4 linked regions of the Arabidopsis thaliana genome follow. The protein of the gene in region 1 purifies or fractionates together with the protein of each later gene. This does not show direct contact. Each region holds a gene or a part of one and is shown in the gene's direction. Other genes may lie near its edges.

The links.
Region 2: the proteins of AT2G21390 (region 1) and RPN8A fractionate together in Arabidopsis thaliana (co-fractionation; one large-scale study listed by BioGRID). This does not show direct contact.
Region 3: the proteins of AT2G21390 (region 1) and RPAC43 fractionate together in Arabidopsis thaliana (co-fractionation; one large-scale study listed by BioGRID). This does not show direct contact.
Region 4: the proteins of AT2G21390 (region 1) and AT1G04810 fractionate together in Arabidopsis thaliana (co-fractionation; one large-scale study listed by BioGRID). This does not show direct contact.

Annotation. Positions count from the first base shown.
Region 1 is NC_003071.7:9,150,227-9,157,428, forward strand, and holds AT2G21390 (Coatomer, alpha subunit), read left to right. Parts: upstream 1-1,713; 5' UTR 1,714-1,983; intron 1,984-2,173; 5' UTR 2,174-2,201; coding exon 2,202-2,409; intron 2,410-2,814; coding exon 2,815-3,309; intron 3,310-3,397; coding exon 3,398-6,351; 3' UTR 6,352-6,680; downstream 6,681-7,202. Other genes in the region: AT2G21385 (uncharacterized protein), read left to right, coding at 76-174, 267-332, 421-537, 674-748, 847-949, 1,038-1,085, 1,162-1,283, 1,434-1,526. UniProt on the Arabidopsis thaliana protein: The coatomer is a cytosolic protein complex that binds to dilysine motifs and reversibly associates with Golgi non-clathrin-coated vesicles, which further mediate biosynthetic protein transport from the ER, via the Golgi up to the trans Golgi network.
Region 2 is NC_003076.8:1,733,955-1,739,263, forward strand, and holds RPN8A (RP non-ATPase subunit 8A), read left to right. Parts: upstream 1-1,775; 5' UTR 1,776-1,907; coding exon 1,908-2,094; intron 2,095-2,492; coding exon 2,493-2,585; intron 2,586-2,668; coding exon 2,669-2,750; intron 2,751-2,934; coding exon 2,935-3,031; intron 3,032-3,124; coding exon 3,125-3,200; intron 3,201-3,331; coding exon 3,332-3,390; intron 3,391-3,558; coding exon 3,559-3,681; intron 3,682-3,845; coding exon 3,846-3,903; intron 3,904-3,989; coding exon 3,990-4,075; intron 4,076-4,156; coding exon 4,157-4,222; 3' UTR 4,223-4,786; downstream 4,787-5,309. Other genes in the region: WOX7 (WUSCHEL related homeobox 7), read left to right, coding at 533-901.
Region 3 is NC_003070.9:22,329,238-22,334,094, forward strand, and holds RPAC43 (RNA polymerase I subunit 43), read left to right. Parts: upstream 1-1,656; 5' UTR 1,657-1,987; coding exon 1,988-2,146; intron 2,147-2,231; exon of another isoform or gene 2,232-2,357; intron 2,358-2,451; coding exon 2,452-2,637; intron 2,638-2,715; coding exon 2,716-2,845; intron 2,846-2,940; coding exon 2,941-3,021; intron 3,022-3,114; coding exon 3,115-3,302; intron 3,303-3,396; coding exon 3,397-3,492; intron 3,493-3,594; coding exon 3,595-3,688; intron 3,689-3,815; coding exon 3,816-3,935; intron 3,936-4,029; coding exon 4,030-4,133; 3' UTR 4,134-4,331; downstream 4,332-4,857. Other genes in the region: RALFL6 (RALF-like 6), read left to right, coding at 4,679-4,857.
Region 4 is NC_003070.9:1,348,059-1,355,978, forward strand, and holds AT1G04810 (26S proteasome regulatory complex, non-ATPase subcomplex, Rpn2/Psmd1 subunit), read left to right. Parts: upstream 1-2,021; 5' UTR 2,022-2,245; coding exon 2,246-2,391; intron 2,392-2,774; coding exon 2,775-2,844; intron 2,845-3,048; coding exon 3,049-3,154; intron 3,155-3,467; coding exon 3,468-3,576; intron 3,577-3,654; coding exon 3,655-3,823; intron 3,824-4,012; coding exon 4,013-4,473; intron 4,474-4,579; coding exon 4,580-4,715; intron 4,716-4,817; coding exon 4,818-5,066; intron 5,067-5,165; coding exon 5,166-5,386; intron 5,387-5,482; coding exon 5,483-5,741; intron 5,742-5,862; coding exon 5,863-6,095; intron 6,096-6,181; coding exon 6,182-6,680; intron 6,681-6,855; coding exon 6,856-7,203; 3' UTR 7,204-7,408; downstream 7,409-7,920. Other genes in the region: AT1G04790 (RING/U-box superfamily protein), read left to right, coding at 23-85; AT1G04800 (glycine-rich protein), read right to left, coding at 577-1,179. UniProt on the Arabidopsis thaliana protein: Acts as a regulatory subunit of the 26 proteasome which is involved in the ATP-dependent degradation of ubiquitinated proteins.

The DNA of each region.
Region 1 (7,202 bases):
AATGTTGTGTTTTTGCTCTATTATCTTGAGTAAATTGAGTTTTGTTTTGTTGTTGTTGCCATTTTCATTGAACAGGTTGAGAAGATTGTTGTTGAAAATATCCTTGCTTTTGATGAGGTTTTTTGGATAAGACTAGCAGCTAGGTCGGATACTTGTAAATCAGAAGATGACAAGGCATGAGTTTATATTGTTTATGTCAATGATAGAGCAGACTTTTGATCTCTTTTGTTTCCGCTAATGCTTTGAATACGGTTTGTTTCTTACAGAAGGACTATGAGGAGTTAGCTACAACTGTGATGACTATAGTTGACTGTGTTGTGAATAAGACTCGGGTTTCTCTTTCTTCTGTGGTTTTATTGTCTCTTCTTCTTCAGCGTTTACTTAAACAGGGATAACTGAGAGTTCATTATATCCCTTTAGGAAAAGATAGAGACGTCTACTGATATTCTGAAAGGGATTTTAAGACCTGCTATAGATGGAGTGGAAGAGATTTCATGGCCGCCAAGAGATCCTGAAGCCATCAATCTAATGAAAAAGGTTTATACTAGTTGTTCTTCACTTTCTACTACATCTACACATTTTTTATATATACAACCTATATTCAGAAGGGTTATCTGGTCTTAGATTCTGTGATTTGATATCGTCATGGTTACTGAGATCAGTGTATTAACAGGAAATTATACAACGGGAAAAAGAAGGGCAATTAGATGAAGGATTTCTTTCAGAAGTTAATGCTCAGCTCCGGCAGGTAAGTGCTACAATTTGTTTTGTTTCACTTCTGAGGTCTTTCCTTTACAGTGAATAGATGTATTCTTTTGAATGTTTGAGGCTGACGATTGTTTTCAGGCAAAAGAAGATAAAGACAAACCAGGGTTATTGGCTATGCTGCAAAAAGTTCTTCAACTCTATTCTGCTACTATCCTCTCCAAGCGTAGCTACGCAAAGAAAGGTGATTTGCCCAATTTTGAAAACTATGCCAAGTCACTCTAAACCATTTTCTACGAACATAATCTCATCCACTATAGCTATTGTCACAGGGAACGAAGTTGTAAAAGCCGAGCATTTTCTTGAAACTCTGATCAAAGGTCTGTTCTGCAACCACTTTTCCATGTACTATAGACCCCAGCCAGACTTCACATCGGTTTATTATGTGTGTTTCAGCTCCTGAGGAACAATGGAACAAGCTTTTCGTAGACGGGTTAACAATCGGAAAAGGAGATATCACACCTGATGAGCTATCTGCTGTTATCAAGAAACGAATCGAGCGCACACTGATTCGAACTGTAAGTAACATACCATGACACATTTGCTTGCATTGTTATTATTCTCTTCAGGAGTGAATGCGAGGCTAACCGGGTTTTGGGTTGGGGTTTTAACCAGATATTGTTTTCTAAAATTCATCATTCTAACCACAACTATTCTGATCATACCAGGAAGGGGGTTCATACCAGCAGCGAATTTTGACCGAGTATCTCAAAGGAATCGAGTCCAGGGCTAATGAAATTATGAAATTACTCCAGGGTTAATGTCGTAAATCATGTATTTATCTATACATTTTTGTGTAATATCAGTTCAATAACCCCAATTAATATATTGTTTTCTCTCATGTAATAATTTTTTGATTGAGCATTTGAAGTGTTATCTGATTTAAAAATATGAAGCTCTGTAGTCAAAATTTTACAGATTTTAATTATCTTGGAATAAAAAATGTAAAGTTGATGCTTCCATATAAAATAAAAGTAAAAATGAGTAATTCATGCCAATTAAATTAGCGAGACGCAAATTGGAGACAGAGATAACTGAGCGGAGGGATTCAGATCTATACGACGAAACTGAATCTCACCGTCTTCTTCTTCTTCTTCTTCTTCTAGACGATCCTTGTGTTTCTCTTGCTCTCGCATCCACGCTTCTCTGGTAATGCTACTGATCGTCACCGTGAAGCTGAGCTTGATCGCTTCCCCTTGTGAACTGATCTGATCTGAGGTGAATCTCTATTTCTTCTCCTTCTTCATTGTACGAATCTCGATTTCTCGGATCTTGCTGCTTCTTATCGTTAGATCTGTTTTCAATTTCACGTGGATTACGTTTTTTTTCTTCCTTTTGCGGGTTTTTCGATTTCTTTGAACTGATCTTTCTCCATGATTTTCATTCTCTGTTGATCTGGTTTTTGTAGAGTTGTTTCTGTTTCGTAATCTGTGAATATGCTGACCAAGTTCGAGACCAAGAGTAACCGAGTTAAGGGTCTGAGTTTCCACCCTAAACGACCATGGATTCTCGCGAGTTTACACAGTGGTGTGATCCAGCTCTGGGATTATCGTATGGGTACTTTGATCGACAGATTTGATGAGCACGAAGGACCTGTTCGTGGTGTTCATTTCCACAACTCACAGCCTTTATTCGTCTCTGGAGGTATGCTTTGTTATTGGTAGGCCAATAAGTCTGTTTATTACACTTTCATGATCGATAAATCCTGATCTGCTTAAGTATTAACCCTTAGCTAGTTAGCTTCCTCGGTTCCTAGATCTAGCTTGGTCTCCCAACCTTTGTTTAATGGATGACTTAAGCTCTTATAGTCCCAGCTGGAGTAAATAATTTGTGTTTAAGTTACTTATATAACATATTGGATGATTTGGACCTAGTGCATTGAAACCAGATCTTATGGTACATGTTGCATAGTATTTTATTTGAACATAAGTAAGTACTCAAACAACTAGAAATGCAAATGGCTTGGATTCTTCTTCGTTACAGTTATAATGCTCTTACAGAACATTACTCATATGTAGTTGATGGCATTGATTACATTGGATGTTGCAGGGGATGATTACAAGATTAAAGTTTGGAACTACAAAACTCACAGGTGTCTTTTCACTCTTCTCGGGCATCTTGATTATATCCGCACTGTCCAATTTCACCACGAAAACCCATGGATTGTGAGTGCTAGTGACGATCAGACTATCCGCATTTGGAACTGGCAGTCTAGGACTTGTATTTCCGTGTTGACTGGTCACAATCATTATGTTATGTGTGCTTCTTTCCATCCAAAGGAAGATCTTGTTGTATCAGCATCACTGGATCAGACTGTCCGTGTTTGGGACATTGGTGCTCTTAAGAAGAAGTCAGCATCTCCTGCTGATGACCTCATGCGATTTAGTCAGATGAATTCTGATCTTTTTGGAGGGGTTGACGCTATAGTTAAGTACGTCCTTGAAGGTCATGATAGAGGAGTCAACTGGGCTTCTTTTCATCCCACACTTCCTCTCATTGTCTCTGGTGCCGATGACCGCCAAGTAAAGCTGTGGCGTATGAATGGTATTTCTTATGGATATCTGTCTTCTTCTTCACAGAAAGTTAATTTTATGAATCATTGAGGTACTGATGCGTTTCAATTTTGTTGCAGAAACTAAAGCTTGGGAGGTGGATACATTGCGAGGTCATATGAATAACGTTTCATCCGTTATGTTCCATGCAAAACAGGACATTATCGTGTCAAACTCTGAGGATAAAAGCATCCGTGTCTGGGATGCTACCAAGCGAACTGGAATCCAAACTTTTCGTCGTGAGCATGACCGATTCTGGATTCTTGCAGTTCACCCTGAGATTAATCTACTTGCAGCAGGACATGACAATGGTATGATTGTTTTCAAACTTGAGAGAGAACGTCCTGCATTTGCTTTGAGTGGTGATTCGTTATTCTATGCCAAAGATAGATTTCTGCGGTACTATGAATATTCAACTCAAAAAGATTCCCAAGTTATTCCTATACGGCGTCCTGGTACCCCAAGCTTGAATCAAAGTCCGAGGACTTTATCCTACAGTCCGACAGAAAATGCAGTCTTAATCTGCTCAGATCTGGATGGTGGTTCTTACGAGTTGTACATCATACCGAAAGATAGCGTTGGCAGGAGTGATGTTGTACAAGATGCAAAGAGGGGGACAGGGGGTTCTGCGGTGTTCATTGCTCGAAATCGGTTTGCTGTTCTGGAGAAAAGCACCAGCCAGGTGTTAGTGAAGAATCTAAAGAATGAGGTGGTTAAAAAGAGTTCTTTACCTATTCCCACAGATGCTATCTTTTATGCTGGGACTGGAAATTTGCTTTGTAGATCTGAGGATAAAGTGGTTATATTTGACCTTCAACAAAGGCTTGTTCTTGGTGAGCTTCAGACACCGTTTGTTAGGTACGTTGTTTGGTCTAACGATATGGAGAGTGTTGCTTTGCTCAGCAAACATACTATCATTATTGCGAGCAAAAAACTTGTCCTACAGTGCACGCTTCATGAGACAATACGTGTGAAAAGTGGAGCATGGGACGACAATGGTGTCTTCATTTACACTACTCTGAACCACATCAAGTACTGTCTGCCTAATGGAGATAGTGGAATCATCAGAACCCTGGATGTCCCAATCTACATCACCAAGGTGTCTGGAAATACAATCTTTTGCTTGGACCGGGATGGGAAAAACAGGGCTATCACCATTAATGCAACCGAATACATTTTCAAGCTTGCACTACTGAGAAAGAAATATGATCATGTCATGAGCATGATAAAGAACTCCCAGCTATGTGGACAGGCTATGATCGCTTATCTTCAGCAGAAAGGATTTCCTGAAGTTGCCCTACACTTTGTTGAAGACGAGAGGATCCGATTCAACTTGGCTCTTGAAAGTGGCAACATCAGTGTAGCTGTTGCATCCGCTACAGAGATTAATGAGAAAGACCACTGGTATAGACTCGGAGTGGAAGCTCTTCGTCAAGGAAATTCTAGAATTGTTGAGTTTGCGTACCAGCAGACAAAGAACTTTGAGAGGTTATCTTTTCTATATCTCATTACTGGCAATTTAGACAAGCTGTCAAAGTTGATGAAGATTGCAGAGGTGAAGAACAATGTAATGGGTCAGTTTCACAATGCACTCTACCTAGGAGATGTTAAAGAGCGTGTTAAGATACTAGAGAATGCTGGTCATTTGCCTCTAGCTTATATCACAGCTTCGGTTCATGGTTTAACTGACATTGCTGAGCGACTAGCAATTGAGCTAGGAGACAATGTGCCTTCATTGCCTGAAGGGAAGACTCCATCGCTTTTAATGCCACCGTCTCCCATCATGTGTGGTGGTGATTGGCCTCTACTGAGAGTGATGAAAGGAATATTTGAAGGAGGACTTGAGAGTGCAAACAGAGGGGCTGTTGATGAAGAAGAAGAAGATGTTGAAGGCGACTGGGGTGAGGGACTTGACAAATTCGATGTTGATGGAATGGAGAACACAGACATCGAAGCCATATTGGATGGTGCAGAAGCAGGTGAAGAAGAAGACGACGAGGAAGGTGGATGGGGACTTGACTTGGATCTTCCACCAGAGCTTGACACTCCTAAAGCCTCTGCTAACGCACGTTCATCTACTTTTGTGACACCTCCTCAAGGTATGCCCGTAAGTCAGATTTGGAGTCAGAAATCTTCCCTTGCTGCTGAGCAGGCTGCAGCAGGAAGCTTCGACACTGCAATGCGTTTGCTCCACAGGCAGCTTGGCATTAAGAACTTTGCGCCTTTGAAATCGATGTTTCTTGATCTGTTCAGTGGGAGCCATAGCTATCTGCGTGCCTTTTCTTCATCTCCTGTGGTTCCTCTTGCCATTGAGCGTGGATGGAGTGAGTCTTCCAGTCCTAACGTCCGTGGCCCGCCAGCTCTTGTTTTTGATTTCTCTCAGCTTGAAGCAAAGCTCAAATCCGGCTACAAAGCTACAACAGCTGGGAAACTATCTGAGGCTCTTCGTGTCTTCCTCTCTATTCTCCAAACCATCCCATTGGTGGTAGTTGAGTCAAGAAGAGAAGTAGATGAGGTTAAGGAACTGGTCATCATTGTTAAAGAATATGTCCTCGGTCTTCAATTGGAGCTCAAGAGGAGAGAGATGAAAGATGATCCGGTGAGGCAGCAAGAGCTCGCTGCTTACTTCACTCACTGTAAACTTCAAACACCTCACCTACGGCTCGCGTACTTCAGTGCAATGACCGTCTGCTACAAGTCAAAGAACATGGCTACTGCTGCTCACTTCGCCAGAAGTTTGTTGGATACAAACCCAACTATTGAGAGCCAGGCCAGGACGGCTAGACAAGTTATGCAAGCAGCTGAACGCAACATGACAGATGCAACAACACTCAACTACGACTTTAGAAACCCGTTTGTGATATGCGGGTCCACTTATGTGCCAATCTACAAAGGACAGAAAGACGTTGCATGTCCTTACTGCACTGCCCGGTTTGTACCAAGCCAGGAAGGTAACATTTGCTCGGTCTGTGATCTTGCAGTCATTGGCGCAGACGCATCTGGCTTGCTATGCTCTGCCTCTCAAGTCCGGTGAACAAGTCAGAATGATTATGTGCTTCAATCGTGAGGTAAGTACGAGATGCTCTTTTATGGAAGAAGAGTGTTGAGCTTTTGGTGTTTGTGAATTTTCCGCTGCAACTTCTATTACTCTTTAAAGTCTTTATGTTGTTTCTTATCTTAGTAACAAACGCATGAGAACTTTATCTTCTTGCTTTATCTCTTTTTGTTTGATTTTATTTTTACAGTCTCAGGACATTTCATTTAGGCTTATCGGATTTTAAACTCGATTGAGAAATATAGACGTAATATTTTATAAATTTTCAGAATTGTATCCATTTTCTTTTGGTGAATTTTCAGTTGATGCCTAATTTACTATTCCAAATACTTATAAAATTATCGAAAAAGTTAGAAATATCCAATAAATGTGGTTAGTTAGATGAACCGTTAAGACTGGTAGATAAGCTCACGGACAAACTCTCGAAATGACTCGATCACAGCTGCCTCTTTACTTCTTTTCTGTTTTTTAATTTGTCCGGTCGCTTGAATTTGAGTGTGAGAGAATTTTCCACACATTTGTCTTCCAAAACTATCAAGATCATGTAGCTGCTTCATGGATCCTCAAAGCAACTACATGAACGCTTCCTAGCGAAACATGACCGTTGATAGTCATGCCAGTCATGTCATGGAACCCCCTCCGGCACACGAATGATGGAGTTTTGTCCACTGTCAAACTGCATTCTAAAAAGCTTTCCAACTTCTGGATAAACAGAATCCTATGATGAACACCATCCATATCAATCGACGAATCTCAAGTTCTCGTCCAAAACATTAAACATTCGTGATCTGGTCCAAAACACTAAAGACTAAAAATTCACTTGATTAGAG
Region 2 (5,309 bases), on another chromosome or scaffold:
CAACTGATCACACGCTACATGTTCTCTAGCTTAAATTTGCAACATATATAATTGAAACATCACTCAACCCCACAGGCTACAACATCCCACATTTAATCAAGAAATCAATCAGTTCACAATTACTGATGAAATTACGCAGCAAGTAACCCTAGCTAACTAGGATAAAAGAAAACGATCAATTCTCGGGAAAATTCAGTCTCTCCCGAATCCCAAAAACAAAAGCATGCATTTCGTAATAAACAACGCACTGATTCTGTTTGATTTTTTCTACCTTTATCCTACACAACACTAGTTAAACGACACAAAACTCAAAACACGAACACAGTTACTTAATCTATTCCCCTTATTCTTTCTTTTTGATTATAATAGCATATCGGAAAAAAATCTACAAACATTCAAAAAAACATCATCTACTCATCTATATATTCAAACCTTGGTCCATTCACATCACGAAGTCCATCGCCTATAATCATATAACATATCCAAAACCCTAAAACGCAAACACTAAGATAACTATTTCTTGAAATTAATAATGTCGTCGAGAGGATTCAACATTAAAGCTAGAGGATTATGTAATAACAACAACGGAGGAGGAGGAACGGGGGCGAAGTGTGGACGGTGGAATCCAACGGTGGAGCAAGTGAAGCTTCTGACAGATCTGTTCAAGGCGGGACTGCGAACACCGAGCACGGACCAGATTCAGAAGATCTCTATGGAGCTGAGTTTCTACGGTAAGATTGAGAGCAAGAACGTGTTCTATTGGTTCCAAAACCATAAAGCTAGAGAGAGACAAAAGTGCCGGAAAATCTCCACCGTCAAGTTTGATCATCGTCAAGATACAGATCTTTCTAAGCCTCGCCGAGACAACGTACGTCGTCATCAACTACCAGCGAAAGGTTAATCAAGATCTCTTTCTAGATTGTTTTATAATCACATTTTACAGTATATATTATCAGTTTATCACTAAGACGCTAATAATGTGTCTTGGTTTCTTATAAATATTTTTGAAGTTTGTAAAGTAGAAGAGAAAATGATAGAGACGTTGCAACTCTTCCCATTATCGAAAGTTGAGAGAGTGAGAGCAAACGTTACTGCTGCGAGCCACAACGAATACACACGAGAGCAAGCATATACGACGGCGTTTTCTACATTCTCAACATGTGGGGCTGAGATGGAACATTCGCCGTTGGATCTCCGATTAAGCTTTCTATGAACGGATTTGATATTAACGTACAACTCTAGTGGTGACGTTGCTAAGAAATAAAGACATGATGATCACATTTATTTAGATCTAGCTAGATTTTGACAAATTTCCCTTGTAACAATATCAACCTAATAATATCGTTGCTACATTTTTTTTCATTAGCTTCTTCTCTTCACTTATTGCCTGTTCTGTTCTGTGGCCTACCCGTGAAATGAGTACTTACGATTTAGGGTTATAACATTACCATAGTGGAAGGGATGATATTTCTTTTTGTATCACATTTATGATTTACACTTTTGAAAGTCTCCACAACTTAATTTGTCATTATTTTATTTTATTTTCTCCTCTACAATTCATATTTTCAGCACTCGTTTGAAAAATTACTTCAAAATATTTGATAAAATAAGAAATAAAATCCTATTTAATTATCCACCGTCTTAATAAATTTTCGAGAAATGTATATTGGAAAATTGCCCAATAAATGACGTGATCAGGCCCATCATATTGGGCTTAACAAAAGAAAAGCCCATTATAGGGAAATAAAATAAAACGACCATATTAGAAGCAATTTAGTGCAAAGTGGTTTTTCCTGGAGAAGAAGCAAACTCTCAAGCTCCGTCGGGAAAAAAAGGAAAACCAGATCGGAAAGTTCACGTTTTTCAAATCTTCTCCGGAGAAATCAGATTACTTGATTCTTCAAACAATGGATGTGATTAAGACGCAACAGATTTCAGCAAGGACGATCGAGAAAGTGGTTGTTCATCCACTAGTCTTGCTTAGTATCGTCGACCATTACAATCGCGTCGCTAAGGATTCAAGCAAGCGTGTCGTCGGTGTTCTTCTGGGGAGCAGCTCTCGTGGTGTTGTTGATGTCACCAACAGCTATGCAGGTATGCCTTATTTATCCTTTTTCCTCTAGTACTCTTGGATCCCAGATCTCAGATTCTGTTGAGGTCTCTAAACTGAAACTTGAATTGAGTGGTTATTCATACCTGGGTTCTAGGCAGATGTGTATAATAACACCATTTAGGTTTTTTTTGTGGCTGTTCTGTTCCGGAATTGACCTCTTCTAGAGTTGATGTTTACTTCAGTTAAATCACGTTCTCGCTAGGGTTTAAGATTCAATCGAGCCCCCGTCGAGAAAGAGATTGTTTTAGGTTGATTTAGTTGCATTTAAGTTTGCAGAGGTGCTTGCTTATCTATGGACACTGTCACTAGAAACCTCTTTAATAGATGGATGTTGTTTACATATGAATTCGTGTTAACATGTTGACATCTTGAATTGTAGTGCCCTTTGAGGAGGATGACAAAGACCCAAGCATCTGGTTTCTTGATCACAACTACCATGAGTCAATGTTCCACATGTTCAAGAGAATTAATGGTATTTTCTCAGGAAACTGATGCTTATACTGTTTATGACATTGTAGAAATCCATGCTTTTAACACTACCTACTTGCTTTTCAGCCAAGGAGCATGTTGTAGGTTGGTACAGCACAGGCCCTAAACTTCGAGAGAATGATTTGGATGTTCACGCGTTGTTCAATGGGTTAGTTTCCAGTTTAATCATTCAGATATCAATTGATTGGCCTTTATGGATTGAGGATCTTCTGGTTCTTAAATTGTGATAAAGATTTGTTTTAGGCTGAAATCTGTGTTTCTTTCCCACTTTACGTTTTTTGTGGCTTCGGTTTCATCTCCAATTAAGGTTCACTTTGCTTTTGGTTTTGCAGCTATGTTCCAAATCCAGTCCTGGTCATTATTGATGTCCAGCCTAAAGAACTTGGAATCCCTACCAAAGCATACTATGCAGTGGAGGAGGTTAAGGAGGTAAGATACAAACCCTTCCAAATATTGTCCCTTTTGTAAAGTTGTATGCTTATTATAATCAGATGCTGATTAAACACTTCTTTTTCTCTCCAGAATGCTACTCAGAAAAGCCAGAAAGTTTTCGTTCATGTGTCTACAGAAATTGCTGCTCATGAAGTTGAGGAAATCGGTATGTCCAAAAGGGAAAACAGTTCTTTTGATGATTTCATCATCTCGGTTGAGTTTTAAAGAAATGTGTTTTGTGATTGTTCTGAGGAAGATTTTCTGACACTTACCTGCGTCATTCTTGTTCTTGTACAGGCGTGGAGCATTTGCTCAGGGATGTGAAAGACACAACAATCAGTACCCTCGCGACTGAGGTTCTTGTCTTTACAATACATGAAATTTTCATTATCTTCCCATTAAATGTCTGTTGAAATCATGATGGGGGACTTGTAGGATTTGTATTGATGTTCTTGCAAGGTTACTTATGGACATAATAGTTTTCTGCTCGAGGACATAAATAACTTTATAGTATTTTGCACCAGGTCACTGCAAAACTTACTGCTTTGAAGGGGTTGGATGCACGTCTTCGGGAGATCCGGAGTTATCTTGACCTTGTAATCGAAGGAAAGCTCCCTCTAAACCATGAGATTTTATACCATCTACAGGTTAGAACTATATTTCCGTTTCGTGTTCTGAATTTTACAAATTATGGAGAAACTATTTGACAATGTCCAAACCTATGTGTTTTGCGCTCTTTAAAATATTCTAGTCACTGTCTCTGCTGTTGGTTGATTTCGTCTAATGAAATATATTCTCGTAAAATCGACAGGACGTTTTCAACTTGCTTCCTAACCTGAATGTGAACGAGTTGGTCAAGGCCTTCTCCGGTGAGTTTCTGCTATCATTTTGATATTATATTGGGCTGCTTTCTTAGATCTGCTTCATTAATCTTTACTGTATTTATAATGTGCAGTGAAAACAAATGACATGATGCTCGTTATCTATCTATCATCCCTCATTCGGAGTGTAATTGCGCTCCACAACTTGATCAACAACAAGGTTAGATCTTTACTTTACTCTCTCTCACGGCACACAATAATGTGATTCTGAACTAAATCTTGTGATGATGCTGTGTTTCAGTTACTGAACAAGGAACATGAAAAAGCAGAGGACTCAAAGCCTGTGGCCATACCTGCCACCAGCTAGATCAGGTTTTCTCGTGACTTACTGTAGTCATCATTGCCCGCGATGAAGGCAGCTATTGTGTGTTCTCTTCCCCAAAACAAAGGGTCAAGTCAGGGTGGGGGAACGAACGAGTTTAGTTTGATATCGACATTGTTGAATTCTCTCAGTTGTTCTGATTCAGAATGTATCAAAGAGTCTTTTTTCATTTTATCTTTCAAGTTCGTTAGGCTTAGGCCTCTTTTGAGGGGGTTTTGAATACAAAAGTTCACGTCAATGTGTCGAAATCTCCACAGAGATGGTCTTATCCTATTGAAATTAAGATTTTTTTTTTCACATTTCCCCCCCCCCCCCCCCCCCCCTTCTGTTATACTCTCACATCGTGACCGAGTATACAGCCCCGGTTGAATGTTGTTCGTTTTCCAAAGTCAACATGTTCTTCATGTTTGTCCTTAGTATGAAATTTCTGATTAGAGCCATTGACCACAACAAGGGTGTTACTTATGAATTTGTTTACTAGCAGAACTGAATAATTTGCATATTACCTAGATGTAAAAAGGAAGACTATACATTTTGATGAGCTTTTCTTTAAATTGAAAAGAAACAACAAGAAGAAAAAGTAAAGTGAAAAAGGATTATGGAGGAAAATAAAGTTAATAAATGGCGTAATGTTCGTGAAAAGGATATTTGATGCCAAAAGACAGAAACGAAAACAAGAACGTGCTTTGATACGCATTATGCTTCTTCTTTTTCTAAGTCTACTTCTTTTGAACACCTTCTTTTTCTATTGTGTATTATGTTAATCCTTGTTAAGGATACTCATTTTGCAAATCAATATATTACTGTCCTGTTTTACTTAGATATCTATAAGAAAAAAGTTTCAAAAATCGAAACCGTTATAATTTTGTGTAAACAAAATAAAAATCAAAATAACGTAGCTCACTACGAAAAGTAACAATGTAGTTGTATACTATACAGACGTGACGTAAGCATTCAAGAAGACGACTTTCATATTAGTATGTTAGTTAGTGGTTAGGTCGCATATCCCATTGAGGTGACCAAATCCATAGTGACGAAGTAACCAAAGTGATTAATTTATATAAAGAACGTT
Region 3 (4,857 bases), on another chromosome or scaffold:
GAAACAGAAAAATTACAGTAAGAAACCTGTAGACATACGAAACTAATTAGTTGTAAGATATGAAAGCTCAAATATCTTCAGCTTTTGACATGACGAGCCAAGATGTAATAAGATTTAACTGTCCTAAGCAATACAGATTACAATCCAACTAGAGACAAAGTTGAGATCTTTGAGGAAACTATGGTTCATGATCAACTCCTATGTGATGAACTTTCTTTGATCTTGCCTAGGAACCAAATTTAGAGATCATGGTCAAAGATTCATCTGAATATTAAACCAAGTAACAAAAAACAGGCAAAATAAATTATTATGTCAAAAGTGATAAAATAAGGCAAACCTCTGGAACATGGAAGAAAGATAGCAACTCCAAAGAACAAGACATAACCTAAAGATCTTGTAAGAGAGAAGCTAAGAGAAGATTTGTACCTGTTAGAGATTGCCCATAAAAAAAAATAAACCGTAGCTTCCTTCAGATCCTACAAACCTAAAAGAAATCATTATCACAGGCTCACAGCGATCCAAGTTTGCTTATTTGCATCAATTAAAGTTTAAAAAACAAAAAAAACTGTAAAATTAAGAAGTCGAAGAGAAGCTAAATCAATCAATGAATGATTCAGAATCTTAAGAAGAAGAAGATGGGTTTTGATGATAGAAACGCTTTGAAACAATAAAATCCAATAATTTAATTCAAAGATTTTAAATTTAAGGAGAAAGAAGAATAAAAGAAACGGATGGGAAAAAAGAAAGAATGAAATGAATGATGGAAAGGTGAGAAATCAGCAGAGGACAGGACACAGTTGTGAAGGAGTGGGAGGAGTTGGGTGGCAAAGTCGAGATATTAAAAACAAAACAAAAACTTGAAAAATAGACTCGAAAATAATACTAACATTTTTTTTTTGGGAGATGATGATAACAAGAATAGTAATAGTAACCGGTGGCGGTGGTATTGGTTCTGCTGATTTCCCCGTGAGTTGTGCCTTCTCTCTGGTGTGACGCCATTTTACTCTACTTTTCTCCATTTTCCCTCTGTCCTTTTTCTCCTTTTCTATTTTTTTCTTCCTGACCAGTTCAATTCTTCTTCTTCTTTTTTTAAATAAAGAAGAGTTCAAACTTTTAAAATGGGCAACACTAATTTGTTTGCTAATTTACGATAGGGACCCAATGTATGGTCGTCCGGTTTAGTCTTTTTGTTTTTTATTAGACTAAACTAAATTTGAAATCACATGTGGTTTGTTATTTATCTACTTTCGTGTTTGAGTTGATTGGAACTAGTTTTGGTTTTAGTTTTGTTTAGTTTCTTGGCTCATTCTTCTGGTTATCTTGGTATGCTATAATAAAAAAAATACTGGAGTGAGAACCTTCACCATTATGGGTTTGAACTGCCATAACTAAATTTGGAGAATATGATTATTCAGATCGGGTTTGTTTAGAAATCGACATTTCTACTTATATTTGGAAAAGTTATATAGTAGAAAATCAAACAAAATGTCGAATGTTATATTTCTCGTTTCATGATTTTCTATATATCTCATTTGTTTAATTATAAGACAGATTGTTTAGTTCGTTCTTTTCGTTTACTGTTTTCTCAAATTTGTTTTGTAGATTTTTTTTCCATATTCGGCGACCAATCATATAATTATCTTTTAACTAATATGTGGTTAATTAAAAAATAAAAAAATGTCGATTTGGTTCGGACTTAAGATTAGAATTTCGGTTTGGTGGTAACGAAAATTTTAAAAGTCAGAAATCAACCAAACTCCGGTTGGACGGTTCAGCCGCTTCGGTTCGGACTTAAGCCATGCCGCTATTAGAAAAATGGATGTTTTTTTTTCTAGTATTCACACGTGTCCATAAACCCTAATTTTCCAGTTTTATGAAATTGAAGAACGAAATTGAAGTGAAAAGTGAAATCGTGCAATTTTCATCTTCCTCTTCTCCTTAAACCCTGATTTCGGATTCTCACAATCGAACTTGGCTGCAGAGAAGGATGGGGACTAACGAAGTAACAAGGATTGTGACTGATGAAGAAAAGAGAGAAGCGAAGAACTTCAACATATTTGATCTCCCTGACGTTCCTACCGGACTTCCTCCGCATCTTGAGCTCCAGCGAACTCGCGTTGTCTGTAAGAAGGATTCTAATATTCATGTAAGTACTATTCTCGATCAAAATTTACACTCTTTTTAAGCTATGTATAAGTTCAGCTAACTAGAAATTTATTGGCTTTTCTCAGTGTGTCCCATGTGGGTTTGCTATGTTCATCGATTTCGTGTAGATTTACAGAGTAAAGTTTAAAACTTGCTTGTAGAAAGCTGTGAATTTACTGAGTTTGGTCTTAGCAATTTAAGAAGATTACACTGTGGGTTTGTCGAAATCCGAATGATATTGAGTGATGATTGTTTGAAATTTGAAGTCTTTAATGTTCTTCCCTTTCTTTTTGTGTTTTATTGTAGCCTACGGCTATCACTTTCTCGGGTGCCTATTCCTCTATGGGAGTGGACAACAGTGTGAGACTAGAAAACTTCTCTGAGGATTTCAAAGTTGATGTGATTAGTCTCACAGAGACAGATATGGTATTCGATATGATCGGTGTCCATGCAGGAATCGCTAATGCTTTCCGAAGAATCCTCTTAGCTGAGGTCTGCCCACTGTCTCACTACCTCTGATGAATCTCTGATTATTAGAATCTTTGGTTAATAGTGTTTCTTTGATTACAGCTTCCTTCAATGGCTATTGAAAAAGTGTATGTAGCAAACAACACATCGGTTATTCAAGACGAAGTTCTTGCTCACAGGTTGGGTCTTATTCCAATTGCCGCAGATCCGAGACTCTTTGAATATTTATCTGGTAAGAAATATTCTGTGGAATGTGATCCATCTCATTAAGCATATAAACTCTTTGTGTCACGCTTAGTTTTGTTGTTGTTTATCTTTGTGTCATAGAAAACGATCAGCCAAATGAAAAGAACACCATTGTTTTCAAACTCCATGTGAAATGTCTAAAAGGTGACCCGCGTCGTAAAGGTAATATATGTTCTTTGGTTTGCTCAAGAAGAGTCTTTGTTTTATTGTTAGCTCGAGATCTCATGAGAGGTATCATTTTTTTATTTCTTGAAGTCTTAACAAGCGAATTGAAATGGTTACCAAATGGAAGTGAGCTTATCAAAGAATCTGGAGGTTCAACCACAACGCCAAAAACTTACACTTCATTCAACCATAGCCAAGATTCCTTCCCTGAATTTGCTGAAAATCCTATCAGGCCAACCTTAAAAGATATCTTGATAGCAAAACTTGGCCCTGGCCAGGTACTGTTTCTATTTATACTCTTCCCCTTAATTGTGACATTTTTGAGGACTTAATTCCGTTGAGAGATGAAAGACTTGCATCTTCTTCTTGCAGGAAATCGAGCTTGAGGCTCATGCCGTTAAGGGCATTGGTAAAACACATGCAAAGTGGTCCCCAGTAGCAACGGCTTGGTATCGAATGCTTCCTGAGGTGAGAAGTTCACCATAAGCCTTCTGGGAAAAGGACTTAATTAATTTCTTCTTGACTCGTCCTAGGCTTTTCCGGTAATGCTTTTTGTTTATAATATCTTAGGTGGTTCTACTAAAGGAATTCGAGGGTAAACATGCCGAAGAACTCGTAAAAGTCTGCCCCAAGAAAGTTTTTGACATTGAAGACATGGGCCAAGGTGAAGTAAAAGCCTTCCCAAGTTTCCTTCAAATGTCTTTACTTGCTTTTGAGTAACAATAAGAGATTCTGATGAAACCTGAGAACTTTGGCGGCAAATTAATTTGACTTGCAAACGTGGAAAACAGGTAGGAAGAGGGCAACAGTAGCTCGGCCGCGTGATTGTTCGTTGTGTAGAGAATGCATAAGAGATGGAGTGGAATGGGAGGACCAAGTGGATCTGCGCCGTGTCAAGAACCATTTTATATGTAAGAAAAGAAAAAGAAAAACACAGTTCCTTCAACCTGGCAATTCCATGGTACTGAAAGAGATTCTAATTGAGTTTCTTATCATCTTTCGCAGTTACAATTGAGTCCACGGGATCACAGCCTCCGGAGGTTCTTTTCAACGAAGCAGTGAAGATATTGGAAGATAAATGTGAAAGAGTAATCTCTGAACTCTCCTGAAAAGAGATTAAATTGGTTTAGCTCTACCGGCTTGGTTCCGGTTTAGTTCAGTTTTGGGTTTTGTATCGAAGTTAATACAAAGAACATTGAAATTTATATATACTTGGTTTCGGCTCGGTTCAAATTTAGAATATACATGTGAACGTTGAAGAGTAGATGGATGTACGTACGTACACATTCATCAAGCACTGAACAGAGTGAAGAAACAACAGAACAGATCAATTTTTACAACAACGAAACAAACAAACACTAACGACAACACAGATATTCACGAAAGTCTTGTTGTGGCCGATAAATTTGCTGCCATGCTAGAAACCAACCGAACATATTAACCGAAAAAACTGTAAATGACATATAAATAGCCACGAAACTCTATCAGCACATACATTATGCACTGGCCGTCTTTTTTTTAGAATCATCCTTCTCATTATAAATCAAAGAAACACAAATTAATAATTAATCACGTATTCAAACTACAAAAATATAATAACACAGAAAAATATCAAGAAGTTTCAATTACATTGTTTTTGTTTTCTCAAAAAACAATGGCTGCACACAAAAAGAGTCATATCCGCATTTTCTTTGTTTCAGTAATGATTATATTATCATTGTTCAGCGGATTTGGAGAAGGACAAACATATATAAACTATAATGGTATGAAAGGAGACATAATTCCAGGTTGCAGCAGTAAGAATCCCAAAGAATGTGTCAAAATTCCAGCATA
Region 4 (7,920 bases), on another chromosome or scaffold:
CCATTGTTTATTTATTGTGCAGTGCATTGATCCATGGCTAGGACGGAGTAAATCATGTCCGGTTTGCAAATCCTCAGTTACTTGACAAGGTTTTCAAATTCATCGGAGAATTTGAAAACTACCATTTTACCCTTCCAAACCGGTCGATCTCTGGAATCATTTTGCGGGTAAGTCAAACATTCTTGGCCATCAAATTTGAACTCATTAAACGGGGTTTTACTACCGTTTACGCGCGAGGGATGATTATCTGTGTATCTCTGTGATTATTTTCTCGGGTTTAAATATATCTAGCTAAGAACTTTTTGTAGATTAAGAAAGTTGATACTACCACTTATTCACTTTAGTTTAAACATATACCTTTTAAAATCAATTTAAATGCACAAGGCTTTGTTTAATCGTTTTATTCACTTTACTTGCACGAAGAAGCAAGATACAATCATATTCAAAGAGTAAAACAAACTAAAGAGAAACGACATACATTTCAGTTATTGTTACATATATAACGAATTAGTTTTCTTAAATGACATGCATTGGATTTTAGCTCCTCATCAATGCACATTACGGTTAAACAAATTCTCAGTGACCTCCGCCGCCAATTCCTCCACCAATTTCTTTACCGGCTCCTCCGCCGATTCCTCCAATGGCTCCACCGTCAACTCCTTTACCTGCTCCACCGTCAAATCCTTTTCCGACTCCTCCCTCAATTCCTTTTCCGATTCCTCCCTCAAATCCTTTGCCGACTCCTCCATCAAATCCTTTTCCGGCTCCACCGTCAACTCCTTTGCCAACTCCTCCATCAAATCCTTTCCCGGCTCCACCGTCAACTCCTTTACCGGCTCCACCGTCAACTCCTTTTCCGAAGCCACCGTCAACTCCTTTACCGGCTCCACCTCCGAATCCTCCTCCACCAAATCCACCGCCTATTCCTCCACCAAAGCCTCCAACACTGCCTCCAATCCAACCGCCACCTGCTCCAAAGCCGCCTCCACCGCTGATACCACCACCACCACCTAAGTCGCCGAATTCTTTTTTAAAGCCCTTCTTGTGGAGGAGAGGATGAGGGTGAGGGTGAGGAAACAAGGGCTTCTCATCACCAAACTCTGCTTCTCCCATAGTAAAATCTGTGACCAAAGCAAACACCAAAACAAACACACGCACTTTACCGGCGATTAGACCCATTGTTAGTGGAAACTTAAAATGTTTGTAGTTAAAATATTAGAAGCTATTGGAAGAGGATGTTTTGATACGAAATTGCTTCTTGCATGAGCAGTATATATATAGACTTAGAGAGAGATCGTGATAGCATAAGCACTTTTCGTCAATGTGCATGGATTCAACCTGTACAACAACTAGGATATAATTGCTGTTGAGTAAAAACAGTTAAAGATGTTTCACCGGTCACTGGACAAGTTTTATGTTTCATTGTCTGCCCAACTGCCATATTGATCTCATCCAACACAAAGAGAAAAATATGATGCAAATATAGTTGAAAAATTGAAGAACATATGACACCAATTATTATATACAGTTCCTTGAATTATATTAATCATACATTCATATCAATTATATTAAAATTTAATTTGAAGGTTGTCCAGGTTTCAGAGGGCAATAACTAAAAATGAAAATGTTTCTGCATGTCTATTCATAATTTCATATTAAGTGAAAACTCGTATGGTCTAAGAGAAAATATTTACTAGAAAATAATTCTGACTTGATAAAAGATGTAGTCGCTTTATAGGTTGGAGGACAGGCCATGTCAATCTATGGAATATTGAACTATCTATATAAACCCTAAAATGTGATTTCATTTATTTGTGAGCTTTAGCTTTTTAGGTGTCATCAATCAATGATGTAAACTAGAAACTCATATGCTATACTTCCAAACAAACCAATAAAGTTTTTATTATGGGCCGCTAGATTGGTCCATTAACACTATAAGATATATAGTCTGGCCCATCATTAGACCCAATTTTGTATTCCGACTTTATGATTTTGTTTGGATCCATCATATATATTTGGGGTGAAAGTGTAATCTTATTAAACATTTAGGGGTATTGGTAAAAATTACTTGACTTGTTGGGTAAGTATCTTAATATTCGATAAGTCTAGAATTTCGATTTTGATTAGACTTGTGAAAAAGTGAACTCAGAAATTGTGCTCGCCCAAAGTAGTTCGGTTCTTGTGTTCCTCCGTCTGATCAACTCTTCTTCTCCACCTCTAGGTTTCTAATTTTCCGATTAGGATAATGGCCGCCGCCATGGTTAGTTCCGCCGGTGGGTTACTGGCAATGCTCAACGAACCCCATCCTTCCTTGAAACTTCACGCTCTCTCATATCTCATCAGATTGGTTGACCAATTTTGGCCCGAGATCTCCACTAGTGTCCCAATCATGTATTCAATTCTCTCTTCTCTTTTTTTTAATTGTTTCCCTTCGTGAGGCTATTCTGTTTGCTTACTGGGAGTAAAGCTTATGGGATTTGGATGAGTTTTAGCACTCTTGATATTTCTTAGTTAGGGTATTACATTCCAAGTTTTTCCACTCTTGTGTCGAGTTAGATTTGAATGCGTTAATTCACAAGTGACAAACTTTATTGAATTGCTTTACTTAATTCTGTTGATTCTGAATAGAACCATTGTTATCTGGGCTAAGGACGCTCCCTTACCGTCATGATGCGGAAAATTTGTTCTTTTGAAAGTTGTAGAGACTCTACTTTTGCTTGAGATCTTAAACTGTTTTTGTGCTATTCTGAGACCTTTTTTTGATTTTTTTGTAGAGAGAGCTTATACGAAGATGAAGAGTTTGATCAGCATCAAAGACAGCTTGCTGCCTTGTTGGCCTCCAAGGTACAGTTTATCTTTTTATTTAACTTACATGATGACTGGTTTTATATAAATTGTTAGTGGAGATACGAGTGCCAGTTAAACGGATACCTTAAAAGCTGGTAGATTGCTACAGAAGTTCAGAGCTTGAATTTCCTGTAATCAAGTTATGTTATTGTATTATAAGACTTGTTTTCTAACGTTTATGTTAATCTTGTTTTATCTCAGGTTTTCTATTACTTGGGTGAGCTTAACGATTCCTTGTCCTATGCCCTTGGAGCTGGATCCTTGTTTGATGTGTCAGAGGATTCTGATTATATTCATACTCTTCTATGTAAGGATTTTGAAGTTTGCTACTTTCTTCTCTTCTACTTTTTTTATCCAATTCTGTGACAGTAGACACTAGCTCGGTTATCATTCTTAATAGGCGTAAATTCAAAATCATTCCAACCTGATTAAATGGAAGATTAAGAAAATAGTTTATACGATATATTTTCTAACTAATAAGACTTGAACGTCCATCTTTCTTTTAATAAGATTGTGCTGCTAGAAAGTTACGCAAAGACATGATAAGATAGTGATCTTACAGTTACTAACTGTTTAATGTTGAATGTTTTACTCATGGATGCTTCTGTTTTCCTTATCAGCCAAAGCAATAGATGAGTATGCTATTCTCAGATCAAAGGCAGTCGAGTCAAGTGAGGTGGTGGAAATTGACCCGAGATTGGTGGCCATTGTTGAACGAATGCTAGACAAGTATGGGATGCAGAATTTATTTATTTATGTCTGTCTACAAGTTTTTCGTTTTTCCTTACATGGTTTTCTGTTTTATAGATGTATCACTGACGGAAAGTATCAACAAGCCATGGGCATTGCTATAGAATGCCGGAGATTGGATAAGTTGGAGGAAGCGATCATAAAGAGTGAGAATGTGCAGGGAACATTATCTTACTGCATCAATGTTTCCCACTCTTTTGTTAATCAAAGAGAATATAGACATGAGGTGAGTCTGGTGGCCACAAAACTGGATTTTAATAGATGTATTATGTTAATGATACTATGAGCTCATCTTCTTTATTCTTTTCTTACAAATATAATGGTTATAATTCATTGCATTCTTTATGTCAACTCAAAACATTTTTGTAGGGGCTGTTAATTTGTAAATGATAACATCCTTACTTCGTTCTTGCAGGTTCTTCGGTTACTTGTTAATGTTTACCAGAAGCTGGCTTCTCCTGATTATTTGAGCATTTGCCAATGCCTTATGTTCTTGGATGAACCACAAGGCGTTGCAAGCATATTGGAGAAGCTTCTTCGTTCAGAGAACAAAGATGATGCTTTATTGGCTTTCCAAATCTCTTTCGATCTTGTACAGAATGAGCACCAGGCATTCCTCATGAGTGTTAGAGATCGCCTTCCAGCGCCCAAGACCCGTCCTGTAGAAGCAATTCAAGCTGTTGAAACCTCTACTGCTCAGAATGAGAACACTGCAGGGGATGTTCAGATGGCGGATGAAACTCCATCTCAGACAATTGTGCATGAAACAGATCCTGTTGACGCTGTGTACGCTGAGAGGTTAACAAAGGCTAAGGGGATTTTATCTGGAGAGACATCAATACAACTGACACTCCAGTTTCTTTACAGCCATAACAAGTGAGGCAGTTTATTTACCTTTTTTGATATCTCGAAGGATATTTCATTCTTAAGTCGTTTCTTCCACATAGTAAAATTTACAGCAATGGCCATTGTTTCTTTGTAGATCGGACCTGCTGATCCTGAAGACAATCAAACAATCTGTTGAGATGCGGAACAGTGTATGTCACAGTGCTACAATTTATGCTAATGCTATAATGCATGCTGGAACGACAGTTGACACTTTTCTCAGGGAGAATTTGGTAAAATTTATTTTCTCTACCACTTTTTAACTTGTTTCAACGTCAACTATGTGGCATATTATTTAATCTTCTTTTCTTTTCCATTCATGTTTGAATTGTCAGGATTGGCTAAGCAGGGCCACCAATTGGGCCAAGTTTAGTGCTACAGCAGGATTAGGTGTTATTCATAGGGGTCACTTGCAACAGGGCAGGTCACTGATGGCCCCATACTTGCCTCAGGGCGGAGCAGGTGGTGGCGGGAGTCCTTATTCCGAAGGGGGTGCTTTATATGCTCTCGGCCTTATTCATGCAAACCATGGTGAGGGAATCAAGCAATTTCTTCGTGATAGTCTACGCAGCACTAGTGTTGAGGTGATTTGCTATATCTTTCTTCTGGATAGTCTTCCGTTATATCACCAAAAAGATAGTCTTTTGTTTAGAATGATTTTCATTAAAAAAATATGGTTGCAGGTTATTCAACACGGAGCTTGTTTAGGTCTTGGTTTGGCTGCTCTTGGGACAGCTGATGAAGACATATATGATGATATCAAAAGTGTGCTTTACACTGACAGTGCTGTTGCTGGTGAAGCTGCCGGCATAAGCATGGGTCTATTGTTGGTTGGAACAGCAACTGATAAGGCAAGTGAGATGCTCGCTTATGCTCACGAGACTCAGCATGAGAAGATAATAAGGTAACTAAAGTCTGGAATATATTTTTGGCTATGTGTGTGGGTGCATGGTAATTTATTTCAATGTTTTAAGTAACCAACATCTGGTTTTGTGTTTAGGGGATTGGCTCTAGGAATAGCTCTCACAGTATATGGAAGAGAAGAGGGAGCAGATACTTTGATTGAGCAGATGACTAGAGATCAGGATCCTATCATCCGTTATGGTGGAATGTATGCACTCGCATTGGCTTACAGTGGAACTGCAAACAACAAAGCCATCCGCCAACTTCTTCACTTTGCTGTGTCTGATGTCAGTGACGATGTTAGGAGGACTGCTGTTCTTGCACTTGGATTTGTCTTATACTCTGATCCAGAGCAGGTAACTCCATATTCTTTTTGTCTCATTAACTTCTTGACACTATATTCCATTTCTTTAGTGCCTTTAGGGCTCTTGTGCTCGCTTACAGTCATTAACTGGTGGCTCAATATTTAAACTGTAGACTCCCCGTATTGTATCCCTTCTTTCCGAGTCGTACAATCCACATGTCCGCTATGGCGCAGCTCTTGCAGTTGGCATCTCTTGTGCAGGCACTGGTCTGAGTGAGGCGATATCTTTGTTGGAGCCACTTACATCAGATGTTGTAGACTTTGTTCGTCAAGGTGCTCTGATTGCCATGGCCATGGTGATGGTCCAAATTAGTGAAGCAAGCGATTCTCGCGTTGGAGCATTTAGGTTAGTGAAGTTCCGATCTCTTCATCAATTGGAGGGAGTGAGAATAGTTCTCTTTTGAAGACTAAAATTTGTCTGTGCTTTTGCAGGCGTCAACTTGAGAAGATAATACTTGACAAGCATGAAGATACAATGAGCAAGATGGGAGCAATTTTGGCTTCAGGTATTCTTGATGCTGGTGGAAGGAATGTGACGATAAGACTGCTGTCTAAGACAAAACATGACAAAGTCACTGCAGTCATTGGCCTTACTGTCTTCAGCCAGTTTTGGTATTGGTACCCATTGATTTACTTCATAAGCTTGGCGTTTTCACCCACCGCCTTCATCGGTTTGAACTACGATCTCAAAGTCCCAAAGTTTGAATTCATGTCACACGCAAAACCATCGTTGTTTGAGTATCCAAAACCAACTACGGTTGCTACTGCCAACACCGCTGCCAAATTACCAACTGCTGTGCTCTCAACCTCAGCCAAAGCCAAAGCTAAGGCTAAGAAAGAAGCAGAGCAGAAAGCTAAAGCTGAAAACTCTGGCAATGAAGCTGGAAAAGCCAATGCAGCGTCAGATGAGAAGGAAGCAGAGTCTATGCAGGTAAAATGCAAATCTAATTCCCAACATCTTCGTATCTGTTTGAGTTGAAAAATTGCTCTTAACATTTTTTACTTTGGGAAATGCTGTTCCTATGATTAATCTCAAGGTCATGATCAATTTATCATCAGTCTTTTGACTTTTGATCAAGTATATTTTCTCTATGTTACTATGCCAGGTTGATAGCACAGCTACAACGGTGGAGAAGAAGGTTGAGCCAGAAGCAACGTTTGAGATTCTAGTCAATCCTGCGCGTGTAGTCCCTTCACAGGAGAAATACATCAAATTGATGGAGGATAGCCGATATGTACCGATGAAGCTAGCTCCATCAGGGTTTGTCCTTCTCAGAGACTTGCGTCCGCATGAGCCTGAAGTTCTGTCTCTGACCGATGCACCGACTTCAACAGCATCCCCTGCAGTGGGTGCAGAAGCTGCAGGACAAGCCCAACAAGCAGCCACCACCTCTGCTATGGCCATAGATGACGAGCCACAACCTCCGCAGGCCTTTGAATACGCTTCTCCATGATTTTGTAATTTGATCAGTTGCCATTTTGTTTTCTGTTAATTAAACAGAGAAACAGTTCTCCTTTTTTGAACTTGGAGACTAGTACTTATTGCATTGGTTCCGACTTGTTCTTGTGTTAGTAGTTTCTTTAAATCTATATATTACTAAGAGCAGAAATGGTAAACAACTATCATTTTTCCCTAAGTAAAGATTAATGCTATATACCAAAAAAAAAGAAAAAAAGTAAAGGTTAATGCTTGTATGATTTTTCTAGGGGAAATTAGATAAAAATCATTGCAAAAATTTAACCACATTGTTCAGTCGGGGAAAAATAAAAATCTCAGGTTGTCGATTTTGGGTCAAAATAGTTTGTTTATGCTAGTAGGCCTTTTTTAATTTATGTGGGTCAATTATATTACGCTCCTTGTAGCCCAATGGGCAGAATAAAAGTGAGCCCATGAGTGAGGCGCGTGGTAGGCGAACTGTCAAATGAAAATATCTTACCCACTCGCATACTAAGCGCGTATAAGACTGGGAAAACTGCCGTTTTTCGCTAAAATTAATAAACTGGGCGCGTGTGGGCGTTTTTTTACTAATAAAAACGTAACTGGCCTTCTATCTGATTAACCTTGTCCGGCCTTCTTTAGTGAGCCCATTTTTGTTTTAGTTTTATGTTTATAGACCTTATAAAATATAAAGCCCATATACAGTTGTTCCAACCGCAGCAACAACTGTATC